Nothobranchius furzeri: one gene and its partners. The protein of the gene in region 1 purifies or fractionates together with the protein of each later gene. This does not show direct contact. Links are inferred from orthologs where the notes say so. Each region holds a gene or a part of one and is shown on either strand. Other genes may lie near its edges.

Region 1 (3,301 bases):
TAGATCGGTCAAATAATGCAGATGCATCCTTAACTTCAAGGGAACAAGACATATTTAGCCTTTTTAGGGCCCCGATTCTTAGCGTGTTGTAAATGCTAACTGGCGTAACCAGTCTCAAACTAAACTCATATTGTTAAGCAGCTTTTGATGCCTCTGGTCCCTTCTGGCCCGTTACTAGGCCAGCTAGCTAAATTGATTTTACTCTGATGACTTGTACAATTACTGAACTCACTTAGATATGCATTTCCTAGACGTAATAAGACAGACTATTGAGCGTTTTGCTAAAACCTTATCTCATCAGTGTTTGGTTAGTTGACGACAACAACGAGCTAAGACAAAAACGTCCTCCTTACCTTATTTTTATCTGCTGGACAAATATCCTTCTTTAAAGTGTCTCCTATTAAGATAAAAATTAAAGAAAAAACAAACAACTAAAGCAAGTTGGGTGACTTATATTACCACTCAGAATGAACGGCTAGCTCAACGGTTATCATTTAGAAGCATGCTGAAGCTAACCACAGGGCCTGTTTTCTGCCTCCTGGTTAAACTGTGGCCCCCTTCTGGGTGGAGGAGGAATAACACAAAATTCAAACTACAATAAAACGATCAGATTGAATGAATGGATTAACCTGATGATGACAGGTTTAAGGAATTCTAATGTATTGGTGTAAATGTTGAGGTGTTATGGTTGTCCTTACTGATTACAGCTTTGAGGTATTTTTATTTCTAAAAACAGATTAAAGACAACAAAATCACTAAACTAAAATGGCAAATGTATTCTTAAAACGTATAATGGACTTTGGCACGCATCAAAATTTAAAGATGGGTTCATTAAAGTCTCTAAAATTAGGTATTATTGATAAAATCACAAATGCTGCCAACTTTTCAAAAATATTTCATATTTAATTTTTTATTTATAGCTATTGTAACTTTATAATATAGTTCCCTCCTCATTTATTCATGCGTCTTCTCCTTAACACAAATAATCCGAAAAGGCCAAAAACAGCTTCAATAAATGTCTTCTAAACAGAACCAAAATGTAGTTGCAACTGTTCGCCACTGGAGGGCGGCAATAGCTCATTTTATTCATATAAAGTCAATTAAAACTGCGCTTGTCGCGCCGTAGCTAGCTGAGTTTAGCTATTATCATTTTAAGCAATTATATTTGTAGGAAATTTCTTAATTATGTTATTTAAAAAATCTGGGTCCTTTCTAGCAAGGGGATTACAGATGGGTTAGTACCACAATTAAGTTTCCTCAAGGCTCAGGAAAATGTGATCGCTCATTTGTCAAATGTACATAAATTATGTGTTATTGAATTAAGTATATTTTCTGAGATGTTATTCCTCCATGCCAACATGTCTTTGCATGTCTGCAAATAAAACACCGCAGAGTAGCAGGTGAGAATTACTTTTTCTAAAGAGGGACATATTTCGTTGTAACACCGGATGACAGAAGTAGAAGAATGCTAAGCTAGTTAATTTGATTCTAAGTGTGTGCATTTACTTTAATGAACATACGTTTTTACTGTTGTTGCAAATCATTAAGGCTCATTGGTAGCTGCTCCGTGAACTGTGGTAAATATTTCAATCTGGAAAAAGTGCATTTGGTGGCGATCAATGCAGCTTCTGTGAGACGAACGCCAACCCCGGAAGTAACGGGACACAGCCTTACGTTGCAGAAAACAAATCTTTTTCAAAGTTGTATTTTACTGCTATTGGATGTCGGAAGGAAGAAACTGAATAACTCGCGGACCTGAAGTGCGGTTTGAGGATGAAAGTTAAGATCAGGCAGTGGAACGGGGTGGCCTCCTGGTTGTGGGTGGCCAACGACGAAAACTGCGGGATCTGCAGGATGTCCTTCAACGGCTGCTGCCCGGAGTGTGAGTAACCGAGCTGGGATGGGTTCTGGTTCGAAAGTAGCACCAAATCCGATGTCCTAAAATTAGATTTTAAATGTCCAGAACTAGAATAGGATGCCTTACATTAGCTTAAAACTATTGTTACAGAGCTGCTGAAAGGAAAATGTTTCAGGGTATGTTTGCTGTTAAGGGTGATCCTGCCCTAATGAGATCTGGAAGGCTAACTGAGGCCTACAACGATCTATTTTATTCTATTTAGGTACATCTGAGTGACAAAGGATTACAAAACATCCTTCATCTTTTGGATCAGTAGAAGAACAAACTGTAAAATGTTACTACAGCACCTTAAGAAAGGTCTTATGAATGTTTGTTGTCTGCATCTCATATCTCAAAAACAGCATAGGTTGCTGGTTTAGCTTGTGGACAAGCATACAATGCTGGTCCAGCATCCCATGCTAGACTAGCATTACATGGTGGAGCATCTTACCAGTACCAGTACAAAAGCACAACATATGCTGGAAACCAAACCAGCTGTGCTGTATTTTTCAGCAGGTTCTCTTCAACCTTTTACAGTGACTATTAATAAAATGTAATTAAAGTCTCATTTTGCAGGTAAAGTTCCTGGAGATGACTGCCCACTGGTCTGGGGTCAGTGTTCCCACTGTTTCCACATGCACTGCATCCTGAAATGGCTGAACTCACAGCAGGTGCAGCAGCAGTGTCCGATGTGCCGCCAGGAATGGAAGTTTAAGGAGTGAATCTGTTCATCTGTTTGCAGAATTCCCACATTTTTATCCCAGCTGTAAATAACAAGAGTTGTATTCGTCTACACTGATGCACAATTTTTCTGTTAAGTTTGTGATTAAATCTAAACAAATGAATTATGCTGTTGTGCTGTTGATTTACTGCTGCATCAGACTGATTCAAACTGCAATTCTTTTCAATTAGTTGATGTTTGTGTTTAAAAAAAAGGGGGAAATGGTCAAATAAAGGACAAAAACATAAGTTTTATACAGCAGTATCTAAAGGGTCCGCTGAAAAAAATATTCATCATAGATTTGACACTGCAGGACCAGAAAGGTACTTGGAGAGCAAGTCACCCCCAAATTAACTTTCTTTTCTGATGAACTATATTCAATTCAAAAATACTTTATTAATCCCAGAGGGAAATTAGAGTTTCTGTACACACTAGGGCCCGACTGATATATCGGCCGGCCGATATTGGGGTATTGGCCTAAAAGACGGCTGATGTGGCCGATATTGCGCTACCTATCCAGCAGATGGCACCAGCTTTATGAACTCGTGTTGTGTGTCTCCACTCCTTTGAACTTTGAACACAAATTATTGTTTTGGAACTTATTTATTTATTTATTCTTATTTATGTTTCTTATGTGCAATTATTTACTGTCCAGGGTGAATAAGTTCACCAAGTTAACTTCC
Region 2 (4,124 bases), on another chromosome or scaffold:
GATGGGACGTTCACGAACAAATCAAATCTTTTGAATGAGATTTCAAAGTGAACGATGAGAGCTGAGTCCCCGTGGAGAGCCGTTCATCTTGTCTTCCTGTAACGACAACCCCCCTAGCCGCTCAACCCCCACCACTGCTGTGACACCCACTCTCCGCGCGCCCTCATGGACACCGGAGGAACACGTTGCTCCCAAATACACCCCCATGGCTTCGTTCAAGGGATCTAGTCTTTTGAACTGCTCTTTAAGGTAGACGAACAACTAACGAGCAGCCGCCTTGAAAGAGCTATAAATCCCATCACTAATAAGCACACATGCTAAATTCTGCTAATTGTCCAACAAACTCACACAGCAGGCAGGAAGTGTGGTGGTCTGCCAGGAAAAACTCTGACAGGAAACAAAAACAACTGACCTGAACAAACTTAGTGAGACGATGATCCATCTGCAGGAGGATGTCCTCCCACGCTTCGCACATGCATGTGAGTGACAGGTGCAGGTACTGCATCAGGGTGGAGATGTGAGTGAACTTACGCGCCATCCTGGTGAGTTCAGGCAAACAGTCCGACAACAATCCTGTGTCCAGCTGAAACACAAGGAGGGAAGTTAGAGTTAAAGGAAAGAAAAACAAAGTGTGGAGGAGGAACGTGTCCATCTCACCTGGACGTAACAGATGTCTGCGCTGCTGTCAGCAGACTTGACTTCTGTGATGACAGACAGAGACTTGAGGTCACTCGACAGACTCAGACTGCGACATGTTCCTGAAACCTGTAGAAAGTTCATCAATTAAAGTCACAGTCAAATCCGTTAATGCCGTCTACTAAAGATTTTTGGCATAATTAGCTACTTTTTTCCTGCATTTAAATTAGAATTTTTATGATTTCAAATATCTATGCTAACTTTAGAGTCACTTAAAAACATTTTTGGTAAATTTTTTTTACAGACGACAAATGGAACAACTCATCTGAACAAACAGAGCTGCCTTACCCCATCCAGCGTTGCAATCTTGTACATCCCGTACGCATACAGCTCCACATTTCCACCATCTCCTCCAAGAACAAGTACATTTAGTCTGCATGGAGACAGCTTTCATTGGTTCCCATAAATAAAAATTCCAATATCTTAAGGATGTCCATTTGCTCCTGGCAGTAAGTGACTCTAACCATATTTACCTCACTTCTCCAAGGAGGTTGAGTATCTCATCAGACTTCTCCTCACTGTGAAACAGAAATGAATGCAGTCAGTTTCTGTTTGTGCTATACATGCCACATACATCTATGATAAAAAAAAAAGATGTCCCACCTGAAGATCTTTGAAGTTGTGCTGTAGCTGAAAACAAAAGTTTGGACAAATATCAGGCCAGTCAATCCAAAATGTCTTTTCTTGTGACAACATTTTTAATTTTACCTCTTGGGAAGAGTTGGTAATTTAGGAAGAAAAAGTTTAGATTCATCCTCTGAAGTGTAAAAGGAGCTGAGGACACTGAATCACACACAAAAAATCCTTCATATCAGCTTTGACAAGATTTCACAGAACGTGGTATGTTTGTTGAGCTTCCTGATTACCTGCTCTCCTCCATCACCTCCATCCAGTTCATACAGGTTACAGGACTCTGCACTGGAAACATGTGGAGGATCTCTGCTTTCTCAACCCCACAAAGGACAACCTGCTTGGTGTCTCCAAGACTGAAGGCCAATACTGGGGTTACAAAAAACAAATTCTCACAATTCCATTAAGACAAAAATGTGATAAAAAAAAATCCCTTACTTTTGCCATCAGGCCTCCAAGCAAGTGCGGTTATCTTCTTTCCAGTATATTCACTGGGTGGTAGGCTCCAAACCCGGTGGAAACTAGCCAAGCGATGCAGTAGCACCTGTTGAAAATCACAATAATAAACCATCCAAACAACAGGAAACAGTCACCTTGATTCAGAACAGTTAGGGATTTAAAGTCACCTCCCCAGTTGTGTTGGCCAGAGCTATCAGATCCCTCTTTGGAGACCATGCCATACAGAGGACCGGGTTTGGAAGCTGCTTCTCTCCCACTTGCCGAAAGGCAGGCATGTTGTTAGCTGAAAAAGAAAGAAAGTTTACATTCATTATTGTGTGATAAATGGCCAGCAGGGGCCTAATTACAAGGTTTAGAAGATGTACCAAGATGGGCTATTAAAAGTGAGAACAGATTCAATGAGTGATCTGTAAAACATCTAATAAACCTGTACATGCATAACAGAATAATCATCAAAAATCACATACCTTTTCAATATTTCGTTTACTATTGAATATACAACTGATTATTAAATATTAAAAATCTTTTTCTGTAAAGATAATAAATAATTGTAACAATAAAGAAAAATAGAAATGTTAGCATTTGAATACAGAGGCCCAAATGCAGAGTCAAGAATCAGTAATGAAAGAACCGAGTTATGAGCATGACGTCAGCAATAAGACACACTAAACAATACAACTCAATGCGGAGAGCAACGAGACCTTAAATTACACTGCGATGGAGACGAGCTTTGAAACATTTATGTGTTTTCTGCGTGATAACAGTAGAGTTTTCAGGGTCACAACTAAAAGAGAAAACATTGAAGTACTTAACGAGATTCAAAAACAAAAAGGGAGCTAAAGGCACAACACTTTTCCATTTCCAACTCATTTTATGAAGCATAAATTAGCCGCTCGTTAGCTGGAGCCTCACTCACCGGTTTTGCTAACAGCTGTTAGCTAGCAGGTAAAACTGATGATTCACAGCGATTATTTTAACCCGACCAGACGATAACACCAAATAAACCCAAATCGTAAATATACGAATTTAATATCTCATCGTAATATTTTCGCAGTCACTCAAACACCGCCATATTTCTACTTCCACCAATCCCTGTAGAGCAACGGCAGCCGAGAAGAGACAAACGTATTCAGAAGGGGGGGGGGGGGGGGGGAATAAAAAAAAACTCGATTCCTAAATATGTCTAGAGATTTGCACCCCATGATGGCGCCTTTGGTAAGGATTTAAAACAAATTAAAGTTAACGTTTTGGTCCTATTTTTATTTTTTAATAAATGTTATATTCTATGCAGATTAAAAAGTAGATTTAAACTTTGAGGGTTTAGGACAAAATATAAAATAAGTTTTTTCATAATGTGTTTTTGTACTTCTCTGTCAATTGAATGCATTGCTTAGAATTTGTTTGGATTTAAAAGTTAAAAGTGATCATAAAATTCAAGGTTGACTAAATTATATTAATTCCATTAGAAATATAGGAAAGTTTGCAAGGGTGGTTTCATTCTGGTGATATAAAACTATGCTAAAATATTTCAGTACTCATAAATAGATGCTGTACACATGTTATATGGAGACGTCGCCATTGGATAAAGTAGTTATTTATAAATAACACTTCATACAGAGGGTTGGGTGATGACAATTGTCAAGTAGAAATCCAAATTACTCACCAAGTGTTTGCACACGTGTGTATTGTGAGTGTATATGGAAACTCCTACTGGACTTATCAGCAGCACTTAACTGTAATCAGCAGAATGAAGAAGAGCCAGAATAGCTCAGAGAGCACAAAATGTGATGGTGGACTAGAAATAGACCAAGTGAGGCTGCATGGTGGTCATGGTTTATTCTTTCCAAGGCCCAGGATATCTGTCTCGCTTGGTGAGAAATCAGGAAATGCATGAAGTTTAACAAAAATGCTGAGCATCATTCCATATGTGTGTGCAGAATGGAATCGGACCGAATAGTGACCGGGTTCTTCAAGATCCTCATAATAATTTTGAGTTGTTTTAAAGCCATGGAGGAACCAGCTCAGTCTGAGAGGTCAATGGGTGATTATTGTGTGTTTTCAGATGTGGCCAGTTCAGATTATCATAAAAGATTACAAACATTCTGTTGTACTTGCATACAACAGCACAATTGGTGTGAAACTTAGCCATCCCAACATCCTGTGCTTTCTGTGTATAATTAACCAACACCTTGAGCTCCTTCTGTTCACCTAGACCCCCTCAGTCTTCATTGCTCCTGCCAGCAGTCTGGCTGTGTAACATGAGCTAGGGGCCAAATTTAGCCCCACTCAGAGAGCAGTTAGGGACCAGCACAGATGGGACAGCAGCCCACTGCAGAGGC
Region 3 (3,653 bases), on another chromosome or scaffold:
TCATCCTGTCGTCAGAGTTCTGGCCAACGCTGAAGGAGGAGAAGCTGGAGCTCCCTGCTGTCGTCTGTCAGGCCATGGAGGCGTACACACACAGCTACGAGAAGCTCAAGGTGCGTTCGCCAGCAGGTTTTCGGTTTAAATTCCACTCCTGTTATATTCCTGTTCCTGGAGGATTTAGGAAGTCTGTGGTCGGGTTTTATGTTGGTCGTCTGTGATTTCAGGCCATGAGGACTCTGAGCTGGAAGCCTCACCTCGGTTCTGTCACTCTGGATGTGGAGCTGGAGGACCGGGTCCTATCCCACCTCACGGTGTCGCCGATCCACGCGGCCATCATCTTGCACTTCCAGGAGAAAAGTAGGGTTTTAAATTCCCCGCTCAGCTAATGTTTCCTTTTGTTACATTTGAGCCTAAAACCCGTTCTCTGGTTCTGGTTTCTCCATGGTCACCTCGTCCTCCGGATGCTAAATCCCGTCACTGAATTAGTCCTTTTGTCTCCCGTTAGGCTCTTGGACCCTGGAGGAGCTGAGCGTGAAGCTGGGCGCCCCGAAGGAGCTGGTCCACAGGAAGCTGGCCATGTGGCAGCAGCATGGAGTTCTGAAGGAGGAAGCAGGAGGGCGGTACTGTGTCCTGGAGACCCGCTCATCTAGAGAGAAACTGGACCGAGGCGTGATGCTGATCGACAGCGACGAGGAGAGAGACTCCAACACCACCACCCAGTCTGAACAGAGAGAGGAGAAGCTGCAGGTCTGCTTCTACCTGCTTCTTCTTTTTATTCACTTATTTTTCCCAACATTTTCCTGCCTTTTATCTCTTCTTTGCCTCTTCTAGGTTTTCTGATCCTTCCATTTCATTTTTTCTCATTCTAATCTGTTCTCTGTCTCTCTTCTTGATTTTTTTCTTCTTCTTCCCGCTCTAATTTTTAACTTTCAGGATTTCTGTTTAAGCAGGTTCACTGAAAGCTGAAACCCCTATGATCCGCATTAGCTCAAACCTTCCATGATGATGAAAACACACACCCTGACAGATCTACATCACACTGACACCTAACATTCATGGACTCGCCCATCTTGGCTTGTAGTGGGAAGGCTGTTGCTTAGCAGGTTTAGCGTCCAGGAAACAGCAGAGAATGCCCCGGCTAGTAGAAGCTAACCATTAGTGTTAGCAACTCCACCACACATCAGAACTCCTCCAGGCTTGTGTTATATGTGAAGGTAAGGCCTCAGTGTTGCAGAGCAAACAGATTCAGTAGTAGAGTCATGCTGTTAGCCAATCAGAGGTGAGATGTTTAAATATCAGTAAATAAGACTCTAAATCCTGTCGTCTGAAGCTATTTTCTCCTTAAAGTGAGGGTCAAGACTTGGGTGGGGACATATTTCATCCACACTTCCTGTTAGGAAAACGCTTCTGAAAGCCACACTGAGGCTGTGGTAGACCGCACCCCCCTCAACCCTCGCGTGTGCTGTCGGAGATTCTCAATCTTAAAACTAGCTGTTAGCGAGACTTCCGGGTATGGCGGCGAAGCGAGTGGAAGCATAGTCAGGAGCTCAGCGAGGGTCCAGCATTTCCCCATTTTTTCAACTACGGATAACATCAGACTTCGATAAATATATATGGGGAAATACAAAACTAAAAAGATACAAACCACAGAAAGGAAAACCGACGAAGAGAAGGACGGAATGGCGACGAGGGAAGGGAATGAAGACGCCCAAAACACGATGGCCACGCTTCAAGCTAGCATGGAGGCTATCCGGGAGGAAATCATGGCTAGCCACGTAGATATGAAAAAACACTTCAGCGAAGCTTGGGAGACGATGAGAGTTGACATGAAGCAAGAGCTGGGGAGTTTTAAGGACGAGATCAACAAGAAGATGGATGAGGTGGGGGCCAACTTAAAAAGCGCGGAGATGAGAGTGGAAGAAATGGAGCAAAGAGTGGGAGAGGTGGAAGAGTGGAGCGCTAATGCTAAAGATGTGCTCCTTCGGACCGTAGAGGAACAACAGCGAATGCTGGCCAAGCTAACTGATCTGGAGACCCGGTCACGGAGGAACAACCTTCGTATATTTGGAATACCAGAGGACCGGGAAGCTGACAACCCGACTGAATATGTGGAGAAGCTCTTAAAGACTGAACTAGGTATGCAGAATGCAGAGTTGGGGATACAACGATGCCACAGATCACTCGGGCAGAAGCCTCCTGCACACGTGCCCCCCAGATCCATGATTGTGTGTTTCCTTGAATATAACATTAAAGAGCAAGTGCTGAAGAAGGCATGGTTGAAGAAAGATATACGAATAGAAGGACATCGGATTTACATGGATCATGACTACCCGATAGAAATCATCCAGAAACGAAAAGAATATGCCCCGTTACGAAAAATACTGAAAGAAAAAGGCATAAGATTCCAGACACCCGCCCCAGCAAGGCTCCGTGTCTTCTACAAAGATGGTCCAGTTACCTACACGAATGTGACATCAGCAAAGCTAGATCTTCAGAGGAAGGGCCTGCTGAAAGGAGGAGAAGATGAGGGATCTGGAGAACCGTCCAGCAGGGGACCAGCTCAAGGGACGAACGGAACTCCAGCAAAGCCAAAAGACAATTCGTGGACGGTCAGCGGACGAGAGCGAGGACGGGGAAGAGGCGTGGATGTTCAGGGGGCTCGGGAAAAACGTACACGTTTTCACCACCCATCCCAACTGAGAGACTGAAACTGGTTAAGAGGTTGTGAGTAAACATTCCGTTTAAGGTTGATTAACATAGGCAAAGAAACACTGTTTGAGGGAGTGAAGATAAATAATATTTAATTTTAAGATGCAGACTAGGATTGTAATCGTGTTCACTTATCAGTAGACAGCTGTGGTTTGACGAAAATTAATAATTGGACCGCTGGACGGAGAAGAAGAGAGTGCATTGTCACCATCTACAGGGAGACAGGATGGTACCAGAGCAGACGTCACACTCCCTTGAGGGGCCCTCTACAGAGAGAATTCCCCTCATAGTTTTAGAAGTGAATTTCTTACTTCTTTCATGGAAGTCATGTTCAAATGTATGTTTAGTTGTTGTTCGTTATGGCACAGGTTGTTGTTGTTTTTTTACGGGTCGGGTTGATCAGTGCAGGGAGAGCCTATTTTGTAAATGTTGTTTTAAGAGAACACCATGTCATTTCAGGAATATAACATTGTATCATTAAACGTCAACGGGCTCCATAACCCCATTAAGAGGAAAAAGTGGCTACTAAGATGAGAAGGGAAAAACAAGATATAGTTTTTTGGCAGGAGACACACCTAAACAATAAGGAACATGAGAAATTAAAATGTTTGGGGTTCAAACAAATATACTACTCATCATATGGACAGAGACGTGCAAGGGGAGTGGCAATATTGATTGGAAATAAGACTAACTTTCAGTTAACTCAACAAATAGGGGACAGAAAAGGGCGATATGTTATGGTAGTGGGGCAAATTGATCATAAACCAGTGACTCTACTAAATGTTTACAGGCCGCCAGGCAATGATCAAGAATTTATTAAGAGATTATTTAATCTGATGGAGGAACACACTAAAGGAACCCTAATCTGTGGGGGGGATTGGAACGTACAACTACAGCCCCATTTAGACACCAACAATAAGACTAAAAGGATGAATCCGGAAACAAAA

The links.
Region 2: the proteins of anapc11 (region 1) and anapc4 purify together in Homo sapiens (affinity purification with mass spectrometry; 8 studies listed by BioGRID and IntAct, with this or other methods). This does not show direct contact. The link is inferred for Nothobranchius furzeri from reciprocal best matches to the Homo sapiens genes ANAPC11 and ANAPC4.
Region 3: the proteins of anapc11 (region 1) and anapc2 purify together in Homo sapiens (affinity purification with western blotting; 7 studies listed by BioGRID and IntAct, with this or other methods). This does not show direct contact. The link is inferred for Nothobranchius furzeri from reciprocal best matches to the Homo sapiens genes ANAPC11 and ANAPC2.

The regions. Positions count from the first base shown.
Region 1 is NC_091744.1:6,780,365-6,783,665, forward strand, and holds anapc11 (anaphase-promoting complex subunit 11), read left to right. Parts: upstream 1-1,423; 5' UTR 1,424-1,773; coding exon 1,774-1,882; intron 1,883-2,473; coding exon 2,474-2,619; 3' UTR 2,620-2,742; downstream 2,743-3,301. UniProt on the Homo sapiens protein: Together with the cullin protein ANAPC2, constitutes the catalytic component of the anaphase promoting complex/cyclosome (APC/C), a cell cycle-regulated E3 ubiquitin ligase that controls progression through mitosis and the G1 phase of the cell cycle.
Region 2 is NC_091748.1:39,288,548-39,292,671, reverse strand, and holds the start of anapc4 (anaphase-promoting complex subunit 4), read right to left. Parts: upstream 2,881-4,124; 5' UTR 2,702-2,880; intron 2,069-2,701; 5' UTR 2,061-2,068; coding exon 1,953-2,060; intron 1,871-1,952; coding exon 1,765-1,870; intron 1,696-1,764; coding exon 1,563-1,695; intron 1,480-1,562; coding exon 1,405-1,479; intron 1,327-1,404; coding exon 1,300-1,326; intron 1,215-1,299; coding exon 1,170-1,214; intron 1,070-1,169; coding exon 985-1,069; intron 766-984; coding exon 658-765; intron 584-657; coding exon 413-583; intron 1-412. UniProt on the Homo sapiens protein: Component of the anaphase promoting complex/cyclosome (APC/C), a cell cycle-regulated E3 ubiquitin ligase that controls progression through mitosis and the G1 phase of the cell cycle.
Region 3 is NC_091745.1:17,492,617-17,496,269, forward strand, and holds part of anapc2 (anaphase-promoting complex subunit 2), read left to right. Parts: coding exon 1-110; intron 111-221; coding exon 222-354; intron 355-502; coding exon 503-744; intron 745-3,653. UniProt on the Homo sapiens protein: Together with the RING-H2 protein ANAPC11, constitutes the catalytic component of the anaphase promoting complex/cyclosome (APC/C), a cell cycle-regulated E3 ubiquitin ligase that controls progression through mitosis and the G1 phase of the cell cycle.